4 linked regions of the Arabidopsis thaliana genome follow. The main gene of each other region encodes a partner of the protein of the gene in region 3 in a complex. Each region holds a gene or a part of one and is shown on either strand. Other genes may lie near its edges. The genes, in order: XI-I, RANGAP2, WIP1 and WIT1.

Region 1 (5,433 bases), 2.6 Mb from region 3:
AGCCTCTATACAAAGAAGGTGCTTTACCGGCACTTGAGGAGTTGGACCTGTCATATGGAACTCTCTGTCAGACTGCGATAGATGATCTACTTGCGTGCTGCACACACTTGACCCATTTGAGCTTGAACGGATGTGTAAACATGCATGACCTGGATTGGGGTTCAACCAGTGTACATCTTTTTGATTACTTTGGGGTCTACAGTTCTAGTGACAATACCCAGGAACCAGCTGAAACAGCCAATCGGTTACTGCAAAACCTAAACTGTGTGGGTTGCCCCAATATTAGAAAAGTGCTGATACCACCTGCAGCTCGCTTTTACCATTTATCAACACTGAACCTTTCGTTATCGGTCAATCTGAAGGAGGTTGATCTCACCTGTTCCAACCTGGTTTTACTTAATTTAAGGTTTGAGCTTTTGCATTTGCTAGATAACTTATATTCTTTATCTTCCATGAAATGAGTGGTCTTATTCTATTGCTAATTCCATTTCGAATTGTCTAGCAACTGTTGCTCTCTGGAAGTATTGAAGCTCGGCTGTCCAAGATTAGCTAGTCTCTTTCTTCAGGTATGTTTTTGCTCCGTAACTTTTACCACTAAACACACTTTGGTACCTTAAGCTTGGGTCTATATGTTACCACTAAACACACTTTGGTACCTTTTGTCTTTGGTAGTCTTGTAACATGGACGAAGCAGGAGTTGAAGCGGCTATATCAGGATGCAGCTCACTCGAGACATTGGATCTTCGTTTCTGTCCAAAGGTACTAACAATAAACGAGTGTTAACTTCGATATTGAAAACTTAGCAAGTAATCCATTTTTATGTAACAATTAAAACCTTGTCTTGGTGAATTAACAGATATCCTCGGTGAGCATGTCAAAGTTCCGAACAGTGTGCCCTAGTTTGAAACGCGTTTTCAGCAGTCCAAATCTCTTGCAAGATTAGGGTTTTGCGCCAAATGTTTGATTATATACAACTTTTTCTGCAGATTATAGAAATAATGTGTTGTGTGGTGTGGTGTTTGGGTTGTAAATGGCTCCAAGTCATAAGTTTCAGTAGTGCATATAGGCCTCTGGAGTTTGTACTGTGGCCTTCTTAGGATGCTTGTGTGATGACACAAACCTAAACAACATTAGTACTTTTTTTGTGTACGTGGTTGATGATATTGTTGCTACTGTTATATGTAGATCTTATATTTACCTTATCAATTTACCTTTTAAGCTTTGATCCACATTGACTCACATAACAAAGATAAAAATTAAATAAAACTTTTGGAATAAGTAGGGGGTAAGAAAAATTTAGTATATTTTTTGGAAACTAAAGTCTAAAATATGAATGAAGGAAGAAATCTGGAATGTAAATTTGGACTCATGCGTATTGGATGATAATAATTTGGACTTCTTCTTCCCCCAAACTCTTATTTGGACTCTCATCACCATATATGAAATTACAACAACAATAATCGACAACAAATTTTGGAATATTTTCTCTATAAAAGAGATCTAGTAATTATAATAAATATAAATAAACCTCACTAACTATCGTTTAAGAATGTTATATTCAAATATTGCCTTCTACATTTTTGACTTACTATTTTTAATTTGCTAAATTACTAAAAATAACAAGTTTTTAGCGTCAGTAAATTAACTACACAGTTTGTTTTACTAATGTGAAATCAATTTTGCGAGTAAGGATTAAACCCTATAAATGATTCGAATCAAAGATAATAAACTTGGCATTTACTCCGGAATGTGACGTAAATTTTTATCCCTAAAAACTTCTGTGTTTTTGTTTTGGATCTAGTCTTCTTTTGTTTTTTAATGCAAAATCCGAGAGGGCGGGAAGTAATTGTTGTTGTTGATGCTCTTTTTTTTTTTTGTTGCTTTTGGGAACTTTTTTGGGTAGCGGTTTAAGTAACTTTGAACCTTTAAAAAAAAAAAACTCCACAGTAGTAAAATTTCGCCCCTTCTCTCTCTATCTCCTTAGGGTTTCTCAATTCTTCTTCATTTTGAAATTTGAAAAATTCTCTGGCGCAACCTCACGGACTCTCTTTCTCTCTCTATGACTCTTGCTTCCCCCAATCTAATTCTCTAGGGTTTTCTCGTCGAGCTCTTCACGAGTTCATGAGAAATTGTCTTCCAATGGAATTGAATCTGCGCAAGGGCGACAAGGTTTGGGTCGAAGATAAGGATTTGGCTTGGATTGCTGCTGATGTCCTCGATTCTTTTGATAACAAACTCCATGTTGAAACTTCTACTGGGAAGAAGGTCTGATTAACCGTTATTTCTGCTGAATTAGCTCTGTTTCTTCTTCTTCCTCTTCTTCATGCTTTATTCATGCTAATTTTTGCTGTTGTGCGATTTTTTTTCTGGGGTTTTAGGTTTTTGTTTCCCCGGAAAAGCTATTTCGGAGGGATCCTGACGATGAAGAGCATAATGGAGTGGATGATATGACCAAACTGACATACTTGCACGAAGCTGGTGTTCTTTATAATCTACAGAGGAGATATGCTCTGAATGATATCTATGTGAGTTCTTTTCACTCTTTTTTTCTTTGGTATTGTTTATTGAGAGGTCTTTCTGAGTATATTTGGAGTTTGAATTTTTAGTTTCTATACTTCCGGGGGTACTTTATTGAGTCGGATTTCATTCCGTATGGAAGTTTACTCATTTTCGTAGTGGTATTAGTGTACTCACTGGCCGGAGTTTTCCTCTAGAACGAGTTACTGTTGCTTTTGGAGTTTCTTGTGTATTAATATGTGGTGTAAGACATGTTTCCATGTGAAGTGGATTCAGGTTCTTTATGATGGATGCATCTAGATGTGACCTGATATATTATTTAGCCGAAAAAGATAGATATCGAAGTGAAGAAATTTATTGTGACATAATGCATATATCATTACAGGCATTTACTTGCCTATTTGGTATCTAATCGCACTTCAAACATCTTGTGATCTAACCCTAACTATTGCTTTTTTCAATATTAACAATATTATTGGCGGGAGCGGGATAATCAACCTTGTGTATTCGTAACAACTTTTTGTTAGTTTGTTGGACTGCCCTGTGACTGTGAATTATTTGTAGGTTCAATATTCCTTCTAAAGTTATGGAGAGCTTCTGTTCCGTATTTAGTAGGTGAAAGTATCTATTTTTTAGACAGTTTTGTACTCAGCTGGCTTGCCCTTTTGTAAAACATTTGGTGGCAGCTTGGTGTCTAATTTATTTATGTCCCCATTGAGATGATAATATTTAGTTGGAAGTATTGGTGGTAATAATTCCTGTATCATTCTTTTTGCCACTCATAACTGTCAGCTTTTTACGCAGTTCCAATAGTAAATCATTCATGACTGCATTATCTTCTTACAAATACGTTCGACTTCTTTTTCAGACATACACTGGAAGCATTCTGATCGCTGTTAATCCATTCAAAAAGCTTCCACATCTCTACAATGGGCACATGATGGAACAGTACATGGGAGCACCATTCGGTGAGCTCAGTCCTCATGTTTTTGCAGTTTCTGATGTTGCATACAGGTGATCCACTCTTTTTTCTCTAATGTTTCTGATTTTTTAAAATCTTACTATCAGTCATGTTAATCTATTAACCATAGTTATTCTTTATAACCCAGAGCAATGATTGACGACAGTCGAAGTCAGTCAATACTTGTTAGCGGTGAAAGTGGAGCTGGAAAAACTGAGACAACCAAACTAATCATGCAGTATCTTACATTTGTTGGGGGACGTGCTACTGACGATGATAGAAGTGTTGAGCAGCAAGTCCTTGAAGTAAGATTTTGGTTATAAAATTTGTGTCTTCTATCTTGTTCAATGAGAAAAAAAGAACTGGATAGATGCCTTTGTTTTCCTCCCCTGGTATTTGTTTGCAGATAAATATTTAGGGGTGATCATGTTTGACTTTCTTTATTTGCGAGTTATCTATTCTAATTTAAGTATTCTTGTTCTGCAGTCAAATCCTCTCTTGGAAGCATTTGGCAATGCAAAAACAGTTAGAAATGATAATTCCAGGTGGGTTATTGATTTTTTTTTTTCTTTCTGTTTATTTTTTCAATGAAAATTGAGAGGTGTATCTTTAATTGCTCTTATGTCATTTGTCAACAAATTTTTCATGATAGTATCCTTAATACCCAGTGATAACAGCACTTTATGATGTTGATATGGTTTTAGTAAACCTTTTGGTTGAAATTTTGTGTGCCTAGCTTTTAGACGAATCTACTGACCAATCTACTGATCTTCTTTTGCTGTTCAGCCGTTTTGGAAAGTTTGTCGAAATCCAGTTTGACACAAATGGTAGAATATCTGGTGCCGCAATCAGAACCTATCTTCTGGAGAGATCACGTGTTGTCCGGATAACAGACCCCGAGAGGAATTATCATTGTTTTTATCAATTGTGCGCTTCGGGGAATGTAATTCTTTTTACAGCTCTATATACATGTCATAAGAGATTGGTTTTGGTTTTCTTATTATCTGATTGAGCTACGCCAGGTTTTTCTCGCTGAGTTTGTCAATTTACCTACGCTAATTACTAATCTGTAAATGTTCTTATTTTGCTTAGGACGCTGAGAAATATAAACTAAGCAACCCTCGTCAATTTCATTATCTAAATCAAAGCAAGACCTATGAATTAGAAGGAGTCAGCAGCGCAGAAGAGTATAAGAATACAAGGAGGGCAATGGATATTGTGGGCATAAGTCAGGATGAGCAGGTATAACGACTTCTAATTGAATTTTCATATGTTTTTCTTCTGCCAGCTTCTGAAATTCCTTGCTTGTTTCCTGCACAAATCATTTATCAGGAAGGGATATTTCGCACACTTGCTGCGATTCTACATCTTGGAAATGTTGAGTTTTCCTCAGGGAGAGAGCACGACTCTTCAGTGGTAAAGGATCCGGAATCTAGACATCATCTGCAGATGGCTGCTGATCTTTTCAAGTACATAAAATTTTCTGATAGTACTCATTTTTAATTATGCATACGAAGAAATAGCTTGTTTATTTTGTTGTATCCATGCAAAATTAATCAGGTGTGATGCAAATCTTTTGCTGGCTTCGCTCTGCACACGTTCAATTCTGACCCGTGAAGGTATCATTATCAAAGCACTTGACCCTAATGCTGCTGTTACTAGCCGGGATACCCTCGCGAAGACTGTTTACGCCCATCTATTTGACTGGTTTGCTTTCGACTTTCTTAATCCTTTCATTTAATGGATGTTTTGTTGATGTACTACACTTATGTTTGAACTATTCGTTTTATGCTTCTGTCAGGCTGGTTGATAAGATCAATAAGTCTGTTGGGCAAGATCCAGAATCTCGTTTTCAAATAGGAGTCCTGGACATTTATGGCTTTGAATGTTTTAAGAATAACAGGTTAGCGATGATCCATGGAACTAATTAAATGATAGTTCTTTCCTTTCTCAGC
Region 2 (5,601 bases), on a different chromosome or scaffold from region 3:
AAGATTCATGGAAGAGTAAGTGAAACTATACTTTTCTTTAATTCTTTTTTTTTTTCCATCTTTGATGACTAAAACTGCTTTATCCTGGTTGAGTTTCTGAAGCTCTGTTGAAGTTTAGCATTTCTTTATTCAACCTTTGAGATTTCTGTGCTTTGATTTTCTTTTGTAGGTTCTGAGACATCTGTTGTACCTAATGCGCATTTCAGAGAAGTCTATCCAAAGACGAGTTGCTCTTGCCCTTGCTCATCTCTGTTCACCCGAGGATCAACGAACCATATTCATAGATGACAACGGCATGTGACAGTTTTTTTATATTTTCATGAGCTAAATGAGATGCATGCGTTATGTTTAATGCGTTAACCGTCCAGTTTAGATGTTCTTTGTCCAAAAAGTTAATATTGAGTTGTCTTTTGACAGGGTTGGAGTTGCTACTCGGTCTTCTTGGTTCTTTAAACACTAAGCAGCAACTTGACGGTGCAGCAGCGTTGTACAAATTAGCAAATAAATCTATGGCACTTTCTCCAGTTGATGCTGCTCCTCCTTCTCCAACACAAAGGGTGAGTTTCCTTTCTGCTTCAGTTCTCCTATAGGTAACGGGTGGAAGTCTCAATGCAGTATTCTGTATGTCTTTTTGTGACAGGTTTATCTCGGAGAGCAATATGTAAATAATGCTACGCTGTCTGATGTAACCTTTCTAGTCGAAGGTAATCATATATAAATCCAGAAGTTGTGGAACTCTAGTTAGCTTCAAAGTCCATATGTAAAACAGAAAAATCATACTGCAGGAAGGACATTCTATGCACACAGAATTTGTCTGCTGGCATCCTCAGATGCATTTCGTGCAATGTTTGATGGTGGTTACAGAGTAAGTGAACTAAATATTTTGGTTTTTCGATAATGTTCTTGTGGGGTAAATGATATTTTGATGACAATGACGTATGGATGTATGCTGGTCTGCTATTTATCAAAGGAATACAATTATCTTTTGGGGAAATTAGACCTGAATTGTGTCACGGTTTGTGTTTCGTTTATATCACAGGAAAAAGACGCTAGAGATATTGAGATTCCAAATATCAAATGGGAGGTGTTTGAGTTAATGATGAGGTATGATGAATGAACCTCTGCATGCTTTTGATTGACTCACTCGAGATATTGAAATTTCGAAAAGTCTGTGAGAACTTTTCATATACACGTAATTGACTCCCTTGGATTATGATTTTCAGGTTTATATACACTGGATCTGTCGACATAACAAATGAGATATCAAAAGATCTTCTAAGAGCAGCGGATCAGTATCTCTTGGAGGGCCTGAAACGACTCTGTGAATACACAATTGCTCAGGTGAGCCAGAATTATATCACAATGTAAAGTGATGATGTGGTTTGCGTAGTACTTAACGAAATCTGACACGGTTACTTTGAATATGAAAGGATATTACGTTGGAAAGTATAGGAGACATGTACGAGCTATCAGAAGCATTCCATGCGATGTCGCTGAGGCAAGCTTGTATCATGTTCATCCTGGAGCATTTCGATAAACTGAGTTCAATGCCTTGGTAATATAAACAAGATGTCACTCTCTCTCTCCACTAAGATTTGTTTTATTGCTATTAGTCTGAAACAAAAGTGAATGGAAAATGCAGGCAGAACGAGCTGGTGCAGAGAACAATACCAGAGATAAGAGAGTACTTTTGTAGAGCCCTAACAAAGTCTACTACAAACCTGCAAAGCTTGAGGTTGTAGAATGCGGAAGAAGAAGACTGCACTTAACTAGAGGTAAGTAGACAAGGAATTATATAGAGAGAAAGAGAGAGAGAGATCAAGAGCCGCCATTAGAGGTCTTTATCGTCCTGTACTGGGTTGTCTTAGTTATTTGCTGTGCTTTTTGGTTCGTTTTGGTCATTTTGTATTGTATTAATTAATCTCCTCTGATCACAATCGGTCTTGAATGAAATCGCTACCCTTTGTATCCAAAAATACCATTGTGGTATAACTTCCACTATTCAATTCAAAATCCACTCTCCAACTATCCTCTCTGTTGAGAAAAGATACTTTGGGTAGGTTGTGACTAAGCGTAGCTGTAACGATTTGATATTGGTAGTGGTGACCAGTGAGTTCATGTCTGAATAATTAAGAGATGATTCAACACAGAACATAATATCCCATTTTTGTTTTACAAATAAAGAATCAATCGAAAGTATTACTGATGATTAGAGACTGTAACTTGTAAGTATTTTGTAGCACAAGCCACTGAAAATTACATTACACATAAAGGAGTTTTCTTTAACATGAAAGATTCAAAATTACCAGGTTGGTTCTAATTAATTACGTTTTCTTCCAAAGTGATTAATTACTCAAGTCACGATGAATTATTAACCTTTCTCTTTTTTTTTTTTTTTAAATTAGTCTATAGAGACTTTTGGTTCAACGAACGTAGGAGGGAGTTTTAAAGAGCTCCGGTGAAGGAGAAACCCTAAAAACACACTCGATTTTGCAGCCAGAGAGAGTCTCAGAGCTCCGAGATTCAGACAATCTTCATCGGTCCGGTACGCTTTTCATTTCCGTTTATTCTCATCGCAAACGGATAATTATTTGTCTGATCCGATTTTACCCTGTGATTAAGCACCGATGTTCCTTCCTCGTAGTTGGTGATTTAATGCTTCTTCTCGAAACTATCCACTTATAGGATCTCCGATCTTTACGAGATTACTCTCCTTAATCTCTGTTATTGATTTAGTCACAGCATTTTCTGATTTATCAATTAGTTATTCCTTTGGGCTCAATGTTAATCCTCCTAAGTGATTAGTGATTACGATAGAGCCTCCTCTGATTATTTCTAACTTTTGTGTGTATGTTTTTGCAGTGATATTAAAACTCTGGATTTGCGATAATGGCTGATATACTTGATTCTCGACCTCATGCATTTTCGATTAAACTCTGGCCACCGAGTTTACCTACAAGAAAAGCTCTCATTGAGCGTATAACCAACAATTTTTCTTCCAAGACTATTTTCACTGAGAAGTACGGTAGCTTAACCAAAGACCAGGCTACGGAGAACGCTAAGAGGATCGAAGATATTGCTTTTTCCACTGCTAACCAACAGTTTGAGAGGGAGCCTGATGGTGATGGTGGTTCAGCTGTACAGCTTTATGCCAAAGAATGCAGTAAGCTTATCTTAGAAGTTCTCAAGAAAGGACCTGTTGCTAAAGTTGCGGCAAGAGAATTGATTTCTGAGGATTCTGTGTCTCCCCGCGAAACTTTTTTCGATATTTCTAAAGGTAAACGGGCTTTCATTGAGGCTGAGGAAGCTGAGGAGCTTCTCAAACCTTTGAAGGAACCTGGCAATGCCTACACTAAGATATGCTTTAGTAATAGGAGTTTTGGCTTGGGAGCTGCTCGTGTCGCTGAGCCTATCTTGGCGTCTTTGAAAGATCAGCTTAAGGAAGTTGACTTGTCTGACTTTGTTGCTGGACGACCTGAGCTTGAAGCTCTTGAGGTTATGAATATATTTTCTGACGCACTGCAAGGTAGTATTCTCTCGTCTCTCAACTTATCAGATAATGCATTGGGTGAGAAGGGTGTTAGAGCGTTTGGGGCACTCTTAAAATCTCTGAGCTCTTTGGAAGAGCTGTATTTGATGAATGATGGTATCTCTAAGGAAGCTGCGCAAGCGGTCTCCGAGTTGATTCCTTCAACAGAGAATTTGAGGGTCCTTCATTTTCATAATAACATGACGGGAGATGAAGGGGCACTCGCTATTGCAGAGGTTGTCAAGCGTTCCCCACTGCTGGAGAATTTCCGTTGTTCTTCCACAAGAGTCGGCTCAAAAGGGGGAATCGCCTTGTCAGAAGCACTTGAGCATTGTACTCATATGGAGAAACTTGATCTGCGGGATAATATGTTTGGCACAGAAGCCGGAGTTTCTTTGAGCAAAACTCTTTCAAGCTTCAAACACATGACTGAGCTTTACTTGAGTTATCTAAATCTAGAGGATGAAGGTGCCATAGCCATAGTAAACGCTCTAAAGGAGTCTGCTTCGCCCATTGAAGTTCTAGAGATGGCAGGAAATGACATAACAGTTGAAGCTGCTTCAGCTATCGCAGCCTGTGTTGCAGCAAAACAAGATCTGAACAAGTTGAATTTGTCTGAGAATGAGCTGAAAGATGAGGGATGTGTCCAGATTGCAAATTGTATAGAAGAGGGTCACTCAAAACTGCAATACATCGATATGAGCACCAACTACATAAGAAGAGCCGGAGCACGAGCCTTGGCTCATGTTGTTGTGAAGAAAGAAGCTTTCAAGCTGTTGAACATTGACGGGAACATCATATCAGAAGAAGGCATTGAAGAATTGAAAGAGATATTCAAGAAATCCCCAGAGTTACTTGGAGCTTTGGATGAGAATGATCCTGATGGAGAAGAAGATGATGATGATGAGGAAGACGAAGAAGATGAAGAGAACGAAGGTAATGGGAATGGTGAGCTGGAATCGAAGCTGAAGAACCTTGAAGTTAATCAGGAAGATTAAGTCTGTGATGTTGGTACTTTTCAATGTTTTTGTTTGTTTTGTACCAGTATTATTACTCTAGCTGCTGCTACAAAGACCAAAACATATTTGAGACATTGGTGTTAGTTTTATTTTTGCCGATAGCTTATTGGTCCTTTTTGTTTAAACACGATTGTATCGCTATTCTGAGGTCATACCTATGAGCAAAACAATTTTATATTCTATTTGGTTTGGTACCGTTTTGGTTTAGATACGATTTTAAACAAATTTTGTTAACTTGAAAAGTTTAAACTAACGTGAAAGAAGTTTTCAGGAGTGACCATTTCACATACTAAAGATATAATCAACAGTGAAGACAAGATTTTGAGTTTAATACTAGTTAGAATAAGCAATCGAGGATTGCAAACGCAAGCATAAAAACATATTTTTTTTAACAGTAACAATGGCATTTTTTTGCTCCACCAGCAAAACGTTTGCAAAAACCGCCTTTCTTATTATCACATCCATCAAGACACCATTTGTTGCATCTCTTTCTGTCTTGGTATGTGTTGCAAGCTCCAAATTTCGCATGTGTGTTACAGCACAACGAACTTCCGGATCCTTCAACGACATCTATAACATGCAAACAACAATTTTTCATCTTTAAGATTCACGTAAAGATCAAACAAAAACTTTTTATATAATACATCTTTGTATCCCCAAAAATATCAAAATTTATGGTGAGAGACTAACCAATAGAGAACAAAAGAACAAGTAGCATAGCAAAAGACATTATTTTCATGGTGGTGGTCATCTTCTTGATCCTCTTCTCCTCCCTATGAGCATAATTCTTTTTGGTGGAGTACTCTTTCATCTATTTATCCTATTTTGCCAACGTATTATAAATTTAGATACCTAATGCTATTTCCCGATTTAATGGATCAAATTTCCTTTTGTTTCACCGGTAATTATAGATCAGTTATCTTTTTCCAGATTCATGTTCATGTTGATCAAAACAATTCTTGTTATATATGTTGAGGGCAATCTAAACAGTCATTCTATTTGCAAAATCACCAATACTAGTATATTAGGGTATTTGATCCAAGTATTGTAAAA
Region 3 (4,911 bases):
AAGTTGAAGATTTTGCTCTTGTTCAATATATTGAGAACAGTAAATGTCATAGGTCTAATTCTTTTCCCAGTAGCATTCTCAGGGATAACAGTGAGAAAGAATCAGGATTAGAATTGCCTAATCTGCACAGATCACATTCGGTGGGGAAAGTAGGTGAGAAAAGGCCTGGTGAAGGCAGTGACTTGGAGGAGGGATCAAAAAGACAGAGAGATTGGGTGGCAGTTTCTGAAGCTAATGAACGCTTCAACATGTTTAAAACAAGCGGAAACCAATGCGATCCGGAAGAAGAAGGAAAGACAAGCTCGTTCAACAAAAGACTGATTGACGGTGCTGCTGGAAAAAGGGTCAGCCATGAAAGTCTGGTTAATAACTCTACATACAATAGGACACACACTGGCAGAACAGGTCCAGGGTATGCTGAAGAACATCAGCTGTTTCCTGCTTCGTTTAAGATGTGTGACCTAAATCTAGGGGGAGCGTCGGATGTGAATGATGGGATAAAGGAATCTCGTCAAGCTGTTGATTTTGATCTCTCAATCAGCAGTTCTAGTAAGTCTCTCGAGTTTGGTACGAGTACTCGGATGAGCAATGGTAAAGAGATAGAAGTGATTAATTTGGATGATGATCAAGAAGTGGTAAAGTCCAGCAATGATCCAGGAAGAAAGTACGGCCAAGTCCTACTCTTAACACTTATATATACACACACCTATTACATTTTGGCTAATGGGTTTTCATATCTAACAGGCAAGAAGCTGCTCCATATATGGGCATCGATGACGTCCCAGACTACAATGAAAGACTCATGATGGTAGAGTATCTTGATTCCTTTACTCCAATAAACCAGGGAACCAGTAGTGTCCCACAGAATAACAACACAGTTAGCCTTCAAGACCGAGAGGTACCTACTCTACTTGTCAAGTTTTATGTCACATAGAATGTTTGTTGTTGCTAACAGATCCTGAAAACGTCTCAGGGAGCTATTGGAAATGACCAAGTACCAAATAATACAGACGATGATTCGATCTTCATGTCACTCGGAGAAATACCATTGAGTAAGACCAATATCAAATTCTTTCTCTTTTCTATTTTAGCTTCTTAAAGAGCTGAGATTCATTATGTCTTTGCAATTGTGCAGCATTCTTGCAAGCTTGGGACCAACCTCCAGCTCGAGGCTACGAGAAGCCTTTCTGATTCTCTTTTTTTTTGTTATGTTTCTTCAGTCTGTGTAATGAGTGTGTAGTAGCCCAATTTCGTTTGTGCTAATCTCAATCCTCTCAGATGATGTAAGAATGTGACTTGTGGTGTTTTATGGTTGTATGTACCCTTTGTAATTCTCTGTTTATTCTCACACTGTCCCCATGTTTTAGGTCAGTTCAACAATTTTCTGAAATTGTAATAACCAAAATGATAATTATTAACGGTATATATATGTCGTGTCCAATCTCACGGTCAAAAATGAAGAAGGTGATGCTGAGAGGTCAGGCGATTCCGACACGTGTTATATTCCAACCACCCACACGTAATTTTCAAAAAGGAACAAAATTGATCATGAGGGAAAAAAGAATAAACTTTTTCCCACAAAGAAACTTTCCACATTGAACGAGAGAATTATAGATCTGCGAATCCGATCATTGGATTAGGGTTTTCACTTTTCACCCTCCTTTTTCCATCTCTCTGCTGTATACCCTTCCTTTCTCCAAAAAGACCAAAACTTTGCGATTCAATTCGAAATCTGTGTTCTTCCATTGAGCTGGATTTTCATTTTTGGAATCATTTCTTCTCTTCTTTGATCCGATAGATGGTGGCATGGTAGGAAATTTTAGACCTTTATATTTCTATTTAACCGTCAAGGAACCAATGAATTTGTATAGCTTGTTGAGTTGACTTTTTGATTGTGTATGATCGAATTTGGGATCCTCATTTCGGGTTTTGGGTTATTGATCTGAGCTCCTGTTACTTCTGAAACCGATGTGAATTTGGTGGGGGATAGATTTTTTTGTGGAGTCAATGGATTTGGAGAGTGAAAGCTCTGCACTTGAGTCTGTTGATGATAATGTTTTGATTCAACAAAGTGCCAGCAACGTTTGTGATGATGGTAGGAGTTTGGATAACGGGTCTTGCTCTGATGAGAGTGTGAAACTGCTTTCGACTTCTAATTCTGTTGAACTCGGTAAACCTATGAGTTTTGATTCACCAGGTGATGGTGGTGGTGCTTATTCTCCGGTTTTGAAAGGACAAGGCTTGAGAAAATGGAGGAGGATTAGGAGAGATCTTGTTAAGGACACGTCTGCGAATATGGAGAATAGTAAAGCTCTGAAGAGAGGGTTGTCAGGTGTTGCTCATTCACATGGTAAACAGATGCAGTTTCAGTCACCGGAAGTTGAACAAGAGAGTCAGGGATCTGTTGGGTCTGTTAATATGTTGAAAAGTAGCGGTGATGGTTTTGATATACTTGGGAGTAGTGGTTACGATTCTAGGTTTGTGGCAGGGGTTGGTTTTTCAGCTGGTATGGATTTAGAGATAGATGATGATCGGAGTAGTAAGTCTTCCACGGTTGCAAGAGCTCCCAAGGTTATTAGGTATGAGAAGCCAATGATTAGTTCAGGTCAGGGAGGAAACATTCGTGTAGAGAATAGTAAGAAACATAGAGGAGAAAGTGTCGATTTCGAGAAGGAAAACTCTTATTCCAGCTTGGAATCTGACTCAAGAAAGCAGAGTGGAAGAATGATGGACTACAATGGTGAAAATGGGGAAACGTCAATGAGAAAAGATGATGCGGGAGGAGAAGGCGGAGAGTCGATAAACACGGACAATCGTTACTCAGATGAAATGGATCCATTAACAGAGGCCATCAACGGTTTCTTGGCCTTGCAAGATGCTCTTGAAAAAGGTAGCCATTCTGATTATTTTTTTGCTGCGGATTGTATCTAAACTTGCATTATTTTTACTGCTGTTACATAACTATTTCTTGTTATGAGCCTGCATTATCATGTTGGAATCAACTAATAACATCACATGAACAATGATTATGATGTTTAATGTGACTCTTTATGAAATTTCATTTGCAGAGGTTCAGCAATTCCAGGAGATCGGGAATGAACCAATGCCACAGCATCATGAACAAGTCAGCGAAGCAAATTCACCTCACCCCGAGATTGTAACCCTGGTAAACAATGTTGAACAACTGGAGAACATGCTAGAAGAAACAAGGTCCATGCTTGAGGTGAAAGAATCACACATCCGTGACCTTGAATCCACCACGAACCAAAGCAAACACTCGTGGGGAGGAACAGAGATTGTGGTTGAAGACATCTTCCGGCAGAAGATTGAGGCCGAGATTGAATATCTGATATATTCAAGATCTATCGATAACTTAAACAGTCAGATGAAGTTAATTGATGAACAAGAGTCATTGGCAGAAGAGCAAACCCATGAGACGCTGAATAAGCTAGGAAGAGTACAAACGAAGGCTGCAAATTTTACAAACAGAGCTCAAGACCTGCAAAACGATTGCATAGAAATCACCGGGACCATCAAGAAGAGAGCATGTAAGATCACTTCATACGTTCTTATACAGTTAGTATTGCTGTCAACAGTAGTTTTGTTGCTCCTGTCTCAATTGTTGCCGGAGCCAGATACTGTTGTACCCACATGACTTTTGATTTTTGATGTAAACTGAGTTTTGTTTTGGCTTTTGGCTTTTCTTGTTAACAATTCGGCTATAAGTTTTGCCTCTGGTAATAAAATTAATCAAGTAAGTCTCGCTTCTTCTTTTGTTTATTTTGGAGGTCAAGTATTCTTTACACTTGGACACTTGGTCAGTAACAGAACAATTTGATAATTCTATCTAGTTTGTTAGCTAATATGGTATCAAAATGTAATCACTCTTTGGCTCTTTCAATTTCCTTTGATTGATCAAGTCAACACTAACAAAGCAAAAACAGCGGTTGCAGCAGAGATCAACAGCGAGATAAAACGAGGAGTCGAATCAGCAGTTGAGGCGTTTAGGTTATGTGAATAGAGAGGTGGTAAAGGGCAAACAAGCCCATCTTTCCTTTCTCTGCACTCGTTAGCGAAAAGGCCAGTAGGGTAGTTTCCATAAATATTCATGTAGCTGAACATTGTCTGTGCACAATCACTATTCATGTCGTTGATCTGACTCACGTAAGGACATGCAAATTCTTTAAAAGCAGAGCAACATTCTTTGGCTGGAAACGCTGGACCTTTGCACCTCTTTGTCAAGACCTTGTAGTCCATATACTCAAAGTTCACTTCACATTCTGTTTCCAACCAAACAAAAAACAAGAGTTAGTGTCACACCACTTATATATACTTATCTATACACAAACTTGATACACTGATCCAATAATACAAATATTATATAAGAACACTAATGATACAATTTGATTTTAAATTAAAACCAAAGATGAAAAAGTTCTGAAACATAACCGAAATCTATAAATTAAACATCTCTAGCTTATAGACAGGACCAAAATTCATGTAAGAGTACAAATGTTCCTAGTTCCGACGTTACGTCATAATCCTCACCATACCAAGCTATATATCAATATATCATACATATCATAAATATGTACATGAGTCTATATTCACACATTGACGTAAACATAAAATGAAAAGCAGAAGTAAATTAACAAATCGGATTAACAAATTAAAAGGATGAGGATGCTTTTACTTTTCTTGGCATGACGAAGGTTCCTTCCACTAACCGAGGTTTGTGATTCAAACACACCATCTACAGAAAGCGACGACCCATTAGAAACAAATTAAAGATGGAGGGTGGAGAAGGAAGACAACAAAAAGACATACCCGATATGGAACTTGAAGAGGAGAGAGATACCAACAGTGCCATCAGAAAGAAGAATAATAATATCAGCTCCATGAAATTGTTGT
Region 4 (5,925 bases), on a different chromosome or scaffold from region 3:
TACAGTGATTGCTTTGTTGAGGCTTTGGTGATGGAGGCAGAAAAGGATAGAGATATTGTTGTAGTTCATGCAGGAATGGAGATGGATCCGTCACTTCTTACATTTCAGGAGAGATTTCCAGACAGATTTTTCAATGTCGGAATGGCTGAACAGCATGCTGTCACATTCTCTGCTGGTCTTTCTTCTGGAGGTCTCAAGCCATTTTGTATTATTCCCTCTGCTTTTTTACAAAGAGCTTATGACCAGGTTTCACTTTCCTCTAGCACAAAATAAAATTGTTCTAAAAGGTTTTTATTACAAGCAAATGGCCTTAGTGTCTTTGATGGTTTCTTTAGGTGGTCCATGATGTAGATCGGCAGAGAAAGGCGGTGCGATTTGTTATTACAAGCGCAGGGCTTGTTGGATCCGATGGTCCAGTGCAGTGTGGAGCTTTTGACATAGCTTTCATGTCATCCTTACCAAACATGATAGCCATGGCTCCAGCCGATGAGGATGAGCTTGTAAATATGGTTGCAACTGCTGCTTATGTCACTGACCGCCCAGTATGTTTCCGGTTCCCTAGAGGCTCCATCGTCAACATGAATTATCTTGTCCCCACTGGATTACCAATTGAAGTAAGTTCCAATCTAATCTTCAAATCTTTTGGTTGCAAAAACAGACCGTGGTGACACAAGAACTGCTTTATCATATTAGAGTAGATCGGAAGAGGAAGAGTTCTCGTAGAAGGTCAAGATGTGGCTTTACTTGGTTATGGAGCGATGGTTCAGAATTGTCTTCATGCTCACTCGCTTCTCTCGAAACTCGGTTTGAACGTGACTGTAGCTGATGCAAGATTTTGCAAACCCCTAGACATCAAGCTTGTGCGTGATCTTTGTCAGAACCACAAATTCCTTATCACTGTCGAAGAAGGCTGTGTTGGAGGGTTTGGTTCTCATGTGGCGCAGTTCATAGCCCTCGATGGCCAGCTCGATGGGAATATCAAGGTAGAGAGACAAATCAAAACCTCATGTTCTCACCTGTTTTTGGTTTTAAGTTGTAATTTTGCTCTTAACATTGTGTAGTGGAGACCCATTGTGTTACCGGATGGCTACATAGAAGAAGCATCGCCTAGGGAGCAGCTTGCTCTTGCAGGGCTAACTGGACATCACATAGCAGCAACCGCTTTGAGTCTTTTGGGCCGAACTCGTGAAGCATTGCTTCTCATGAGCTAGCTTAACCTTCTCATATGGGATTTACCTTCACAAGAGACTTAAAGAGGAGTTTCTTAAACAGAATTTGTAGATAATACATTCTGAATTCAAGAGCCCATTTGATATCCTGATTTTGGAATAGCAATCTGCTATGTATTGTAAATGTAGAGTTGAGAATTGACTAAAATAAATTCAATTACTTTTTAGGCGGTATCTCAGTTTTCATATTCTCAGTTAGTTGTTGTTGTTGTTGTTGTTGTTGTTGTTGTTGTTGTTGTTGTTGTCAAGTCTATTTGGTGTAACAGTCGCATGTCCCAAATCTGGAAACAAACAAAATATAGAACAGAGACGTGTATTTTCGATACTCGAGTTTTTTTTTAATAAAAGCATCTTAAAAAATTAGTAAAGAGTTACTGTCAAACAATATTCGTTTAATTACAAATCCGAGTCCTTCTTCTTCTTCTTCTTCTCGATCTCTGTATCTCTCGATCATTTCCTTCTAAAGGAAGCGTCTTTGATCTTAATCGTCGTGTCGTTCGTTTCTAACTGTAAGTTTTCTCCTTTTCATTCATTTTGCTTCAATCTCGATCGGAATCAAGTAAAAAATCGGAACTTTTACCTAGATTTCCTCAGGAATCGAAAAGTTCTTGTGATTTAGCAGAACCTCTATTGTTTCCGATCTCTTAATTCAATTACTTGACAAAAGTGATTATACTTTCTCTGTTGCAGTTATATTGAAAGATGGAAACAGAAACGGAACATGATAGAACTGTCTCTGTCGATGACAACGACAGCCTTGTACCTGAGCCAAGCTCAACGAAAGAAAGCTTTTTTGAAGATCTCTCGCTTACTGGGCAAGTTATGAATCCTCAACTTTCAAGTGCAGGCGAAGTTTTGACAAAAGTTGAATTGGATTTTGCTTTTGTCTCTGAGAAATTGGTCAATCTTAGTCTTCTTACTATGCAACTCGGCACGAGGGAAAATGATTTTGAGTCTTTTGTTTCTAAGAAAGAAGAAGATGAAGAAGAGCCTTCGAGTAATGTTGATGATGATGATGATTCTGCTGAGAAGGCATTGGAGTTTGATCTCTTGTCTTCAATTCTCAATTCAGAGGTGAAAGAACTTGAATCGCTTCTTGGTTTTCTCCAGAACGAGATTCAAAGCGCCCGTGTCATGATATCTCCGTTTCAACATGATGGAGAAGCTTTCTTGGATTTGGAAGGGAAGTTGAATGATACTGAACAATCTTTGGGTCAGTTAATGGAACAAGTAGTGGAAATGAAGAAGCAATCTTCTAACTTTCAGAGGTTATCTTCTGGTTTGGATGAACAAGGAAGCTGTAAGTGACCAATCTAGCTTTCTTTTTAACCTTGTTGTGATGATCACTTGGTGAGAAAAATTTCAGGCTTTAATGAATACTATATAACTTTGTTTTTGCAGGGTCTGGAGGGCAAACTTCAGTGTCTCAAAACGATGGTGAGTTTGGTGATCTGAGCGCTAAGATCAATATGCAGACTGCTGATCAGCAAAGGAATGTTTTAAGGATGCTTGAGAAATCTTTGGCTAAGGAGATGGAACTTGAGAAGAAACTAAGTGAATCAAGAAATACTGAACGAGAACTAGAGATGAAACTGTATTCTTCTGAGCAGGATGTTGTCTACATGGAAGAAGTAACCGAAGATGCGTTCTCCAGGTGGCTTGAGGCAGATAATGCTGCTGAAGTCTTTAAGGGAACGTCAAAGGAGATGTCTGGAAAACTCCAGATTCTTCAGTTCAATCTAAGTGGCTCTTTTAAGCGGGAAGACAACTTGAAGTCTAAGCTTGTTGATTCAAAGGAACGTTTAGAAGCTAAGGAATGCGCCTTGCACAAGCTTGATAGCAGCAATGCAAGACTTGCTGACTTTCTTGTGGCACAAACAGAAGGCTTAAAAGAGAGTTTGCAAGAGGCTGAAGAAAAATTGATTTTGTTGAACACTGAGAATTCCACATTAAGTGAGAAAGTTAGCTCCCTTGAAGAACAACTGAATGAATATGGGATTCAAACAGAAGATGCGGATGCTACTTCTGGTGCTCTGATAACAGATCTTGAACGTATCAACGAGGAACTGAAAGATAAATTAGCCAAAACTGAAGCAAGGGCTGAGGAAACAGAATCCAAGTGCAAAATCCTAGAAGAAAGCAAAAAGGAGCTTCAAGACGAGTTGGGGAATTTCAGAGACAAGGGCTTCACTATACATAAGTTAGCATCGCTTGAGAAACACTTGAGGGACTCAGATCTACAACTAGAACATGCAGTTGCAGCTGTTGAAGCAAGTAAAGAAAAGCAGAACTTGTTATATTCTACTGTTTCTGATATGGAGGATGTGATCGAGGATCTAAAATCAAAAGTTTTGAAGGCTGAAAACAGGGCCGACATTACCGAAGAGAAGTTGATCATGGTATCTGAGTCTAACGCAGAGGTCAACGAAGAACTGAAATTCTTTAAGGGTAGATTGAAAGAAGGGGAGAAATATTTACAGCAAGCAGAAGAAAGAAAATTGCGAACCGCCAAAGATATCGGGGTACATAACAAGATCATGAAAAAACTGGTCATGCAACTAGCTGCTGAACGAGAACGACTTCATAAACAGGTATTACCATATTCGTAAAACCCCAGTTCGCTGTTAGTTCATGTCCTTGTAGCTTCATCATCATCACAGTGGATTCTTAGATATAGTGACTTATTTGCAGATAACTAACCTGTCAAGAGAGAATTGTGTGTTGATGGTGAAGTTGAAAAAGGTTGGAAAAACTGGTTATATGGAAAGTGGCAATGGAAGTGAAGTTTCACCAAAGTCGGACCAGAATGCTTCTTCTTGCCATCAAGGAAGTAGACTTCAAGCCACCTTCATTTCATTAACTAATCCAGAGGTAACATAATTCTACCTTACAAAAAATCTGATCTTTTGCTGGCATCTAAGTGAGTTATACCATTAAGCTTTAGTCCAACAATCGAATATTATGAATCTAAGCTTGACGTTAGTAACCGTGGTCACCTTTTTGTAGGAGGAAGAAACAGGTTCAAAATCAGATATTGGAAGTGTAAGGAGATTAGATGTTGGAGCTCTTAGGTTCAAACACATTCTCGTTGCAATACTCGTGATCTTAATATCGTCGATAGCTTATGTTATATCCCAGCAAAACATGTAAGAGTCTTTAACTTTTTCCAAAATCTCAGTCTCCAGTTTTGTACTCTCTTTGTCATAGTTTACAATGACAGATTATATTTTAGTTCTTTTTGGCTACCCAGTTACAGAAAATCTGCTATATAATTAACCCCGACACTGGTATTTTGTGTTATTACAATATCTTTTTCAGTGTCAAGTATTAGTACCTCTCTACACATTAGTCCTTAATCTCTGCAATATGATTAAGACCATCCAATACTTGTTGCATCAATGGCCGTTTCTTTGTATTATGCGCTGTGCATCGGTTGATGAGTGTGCCCATCTGTGTCGCCGCATTCGCAGAATAATCGCTCCCAAGTCGGGGATCGATTATTTCCTCAATCTTATAATTATCTGGCAAGAAAGATGAGGTCCAGTAATCTACTAAGCCTTGCTCTTCCTTAATCTTTTTTCTATCCTTGGAACCCATTAAAAGTTCAAGCAAGATCATACCAAAAATGTAAACATCGGTCGTCATATCCAAAATACCTAACACATACATTACACAATTGTCTTAACGTTGAACAACGAAAGATTTTTCAGAATTTGTAAAACGAAAGTTAATGCTTTCGTGTACCTAACGATCCCCATTCAGGAGATAGGTATGTAAATCTTCCCCTCTTGAGACCTTCATCTACCAAGCTTCGTTTGGTTGGTTCGAGATAGAACAGTTTTTGCATTGTATTGCTGATGAAATCCAAACTTAGATATTAATTTCTAAGATCATAAACAAAAAGAGAGAAGAAGGATGGAAATAAAACAATTACCACCTCGTCAAGCATAATGTTATGCATCCTGAGTTCTCGGTTTAGGGGGCTGTTCTTGATCGAGTGAAGAAACGCGAGACCTTGAGCTGTTCCAATGGCTATCTTAACCCGTATTTCCCATGGCAATGCCTCTTCTTCTTCTGTTGAGGGAAACGTAAAACTATAGGTAATGCAATAGTTGTCTATATCTTAGAATGGACCCATTAGCTAGAAAAGATCTTAACTTCCGAAAATGTGACTGTCCAAACTTCCTTTGTGCGAGTATTCAAATACCAAGAAGAATGGTTTGTTGTCTTCACAACAGTAACCCAAGAAATTGACCAAATTCTGATGAGACAACTGTCCAAGAGACCTCACTACTGCCTGCAACTCATAGTTTTTGTACCCATCAGATAAGTACACAAGACTAACAAGGAATAAGAGATAGGTATCAATATTGCGTAAAAATGAACAGACTTTGCTTACCATCCAGTCTTGTAAAGAGCGTGAACTATCACATTCCATGACAGAAACAGCGATTCCGGTTCCAGCTCTTGATGGTGCAAATGTGGTTTCATCTATGTAGCCCTTGTAGAATTTTCGAACAGAGTAATCCTCGCATTCTACGACCCTGTCTTGTCTGAATTTCTTTGTCGCTTTCTTCAATCCGCGAATCTGAAGACTCTCAGATTCTCGTTTTCTGGCTCCACTTTTCATATATACGTATAAATCGAACAATGTATTTAGACATTATTCGTAAACAAAAAGTATAGTGCTTTCAAA

The links.
Region 1: WIP1 (region 3) and XI-I share a complex: the UniProt entries of both Arabidopsis thaliana proteins name them as parts of the LINC complex.
Region 2: WIP1 (region 3) and RANGAP2 share a complex: the UniProt entries of both Arabidopsis thaliana proteins name them as parts of the ran complex.
Region 4: WIP1 (region 3) and WIT1 share a complex: the UniProt entries of both Arabidopsis thaliana proteins name them as parts of the ran complex.

Annotation. Positions count from the first base shown.
Region 1 is NC_003075.7:16,011,481-16,016,913, reverse strand, and holds the start of XI-I (myosin), read left to right. Parts: upstream 1-1,944; 5' UTR 1,945-2,121; coding exon 2,122-2,265; intron 2,266-2,378; coding exon 2,379-2,525; intron 2,526-3,385; coding exon 3,386-3,531; intron 3,532-3,626; coding exon 3,627-3,783; intron 3,784-3,964; coding exon 3,965-4,023; intron 4,024-4,264; coding exon 4,265-4,421; intron 4,422-4,570; coding exon 4,571-4,720; intron 4,721-4,810; coding exon 4,811-4,947; intron 4,948-5,038; coding exon 5,039-5,185; intron 5,186-5,279; coding exon 5,280-5,381; intron 5,382-5,433. Other genes in the region: SLOMO (F-box family protein), read left to right, coding at 1-406, 503-566, 673-759, 857-943. UniProt on the Arabidopsis thaliana protein: Myosin heavy chain that is required for the cell cycle-regulated transport of various organelles and proteins for their segregation.
Region 2 is NC_003076.8:6,504,236-6,509,836, reverse strand, and holds RANGAP2 (RAN GTPase activating protein 2), read left to right. Parts: upstream 1-2,191; 5' UTR 2,192-2,309; intron 2,310-2,398; exon of another isoform or gene 2,399-2,405; 5' UTR 2,406-2,545; intron 2,546-2,862; 5' UTR 2,863-2,889; coding exon 2,890-4,527; 3' UTR 4,528-4,745; downstream 4,746-5,601. Other genes in the region: ARIA (ARM repeat protein interacting with ABF2), read left to right, coding at 1-15, 170-293, 418-557, 641-704, 786-865, 1,040-1,104, 1,224-1,341, 1,431-1,555 and 1 more; AT5G19315 (Defensin-like (DEFL) family protein), read right to left, coding at 4,937-5,118, 5,239-5,299. UniProt on the Arabidopsis thaliana protein: GTPase activator for the nuclear Ras-related regulatory protein Ran, converting it to the putatively inactive GDP-bound state.
Region 3 is NC_003075.7:13,363,730-13,368,640, forward strand, and holds WIP1 (WPP domain interacting protein 1), read left to right. Parts: upstream 1-1,553; 5' UTR 1,554-2,007; coding exon 2,008-2,890; intron 2,891-3,068; coding exon 3,069-3,655; 3' UTR 3,656-3,802; downstream 3,803-4,911. Other genes in the region: AT4G26450 (uncharacterized protein), read left to right, coding at 1-664, 745-898, 974-1,052, 1,136-1,191; LRE (lorelei), read right to left, coding at 3,916-4,280, 4,694-4,753, 4,828-4,900. UniProt on the Arabidopsis thaliana protein: Mediates and enhances the nuclear envelope docking of RANGAP proteins mediated by WIT1 and WIT2 in the undifferentiated cells of root tips.
Region 4 is NC_003076.8:3,632,040-3,637,964, forward strand, and holds WIT1 (WPP domain-interacting protein 1), read left to right. Parts: upstream 1-1,609; 5' UTR 1,610-1,738; intron 1,739-1,919; 5' UTR 1,920-1,931; coding exon 1,932-2,529; intron 2,530-2,630; coding exon 2,631-3,820; intron 3,821-3,920; coding exon 3,921-4,100; intron 4,101-4,235; coding exon 4,236-4,379; 3' UTR 4,380-4,574; coding exon of another isoform or gene 4,575-4,885; 3' UTR 4,886-4,895; downstream 4,896-5,925. Other genes in the region: DXPS3 (1-deoxy-D-xylulose 5-phosphate synthase 3), read left to right, coding at 1-246, 336-614, 699-983, 1,062-1,211; AT5G11400 (Protein kinase superfamily protein), read right to left, coding at 4,575-4,885, 4,974-5,083, 5,237-5,303, 5,388-5,526, 5,629-5,834. UniProt on the Arabidopsis thaliana protein: Together with WIT2, required for the nuclear envelope docking of RANGAP proteins in root tips.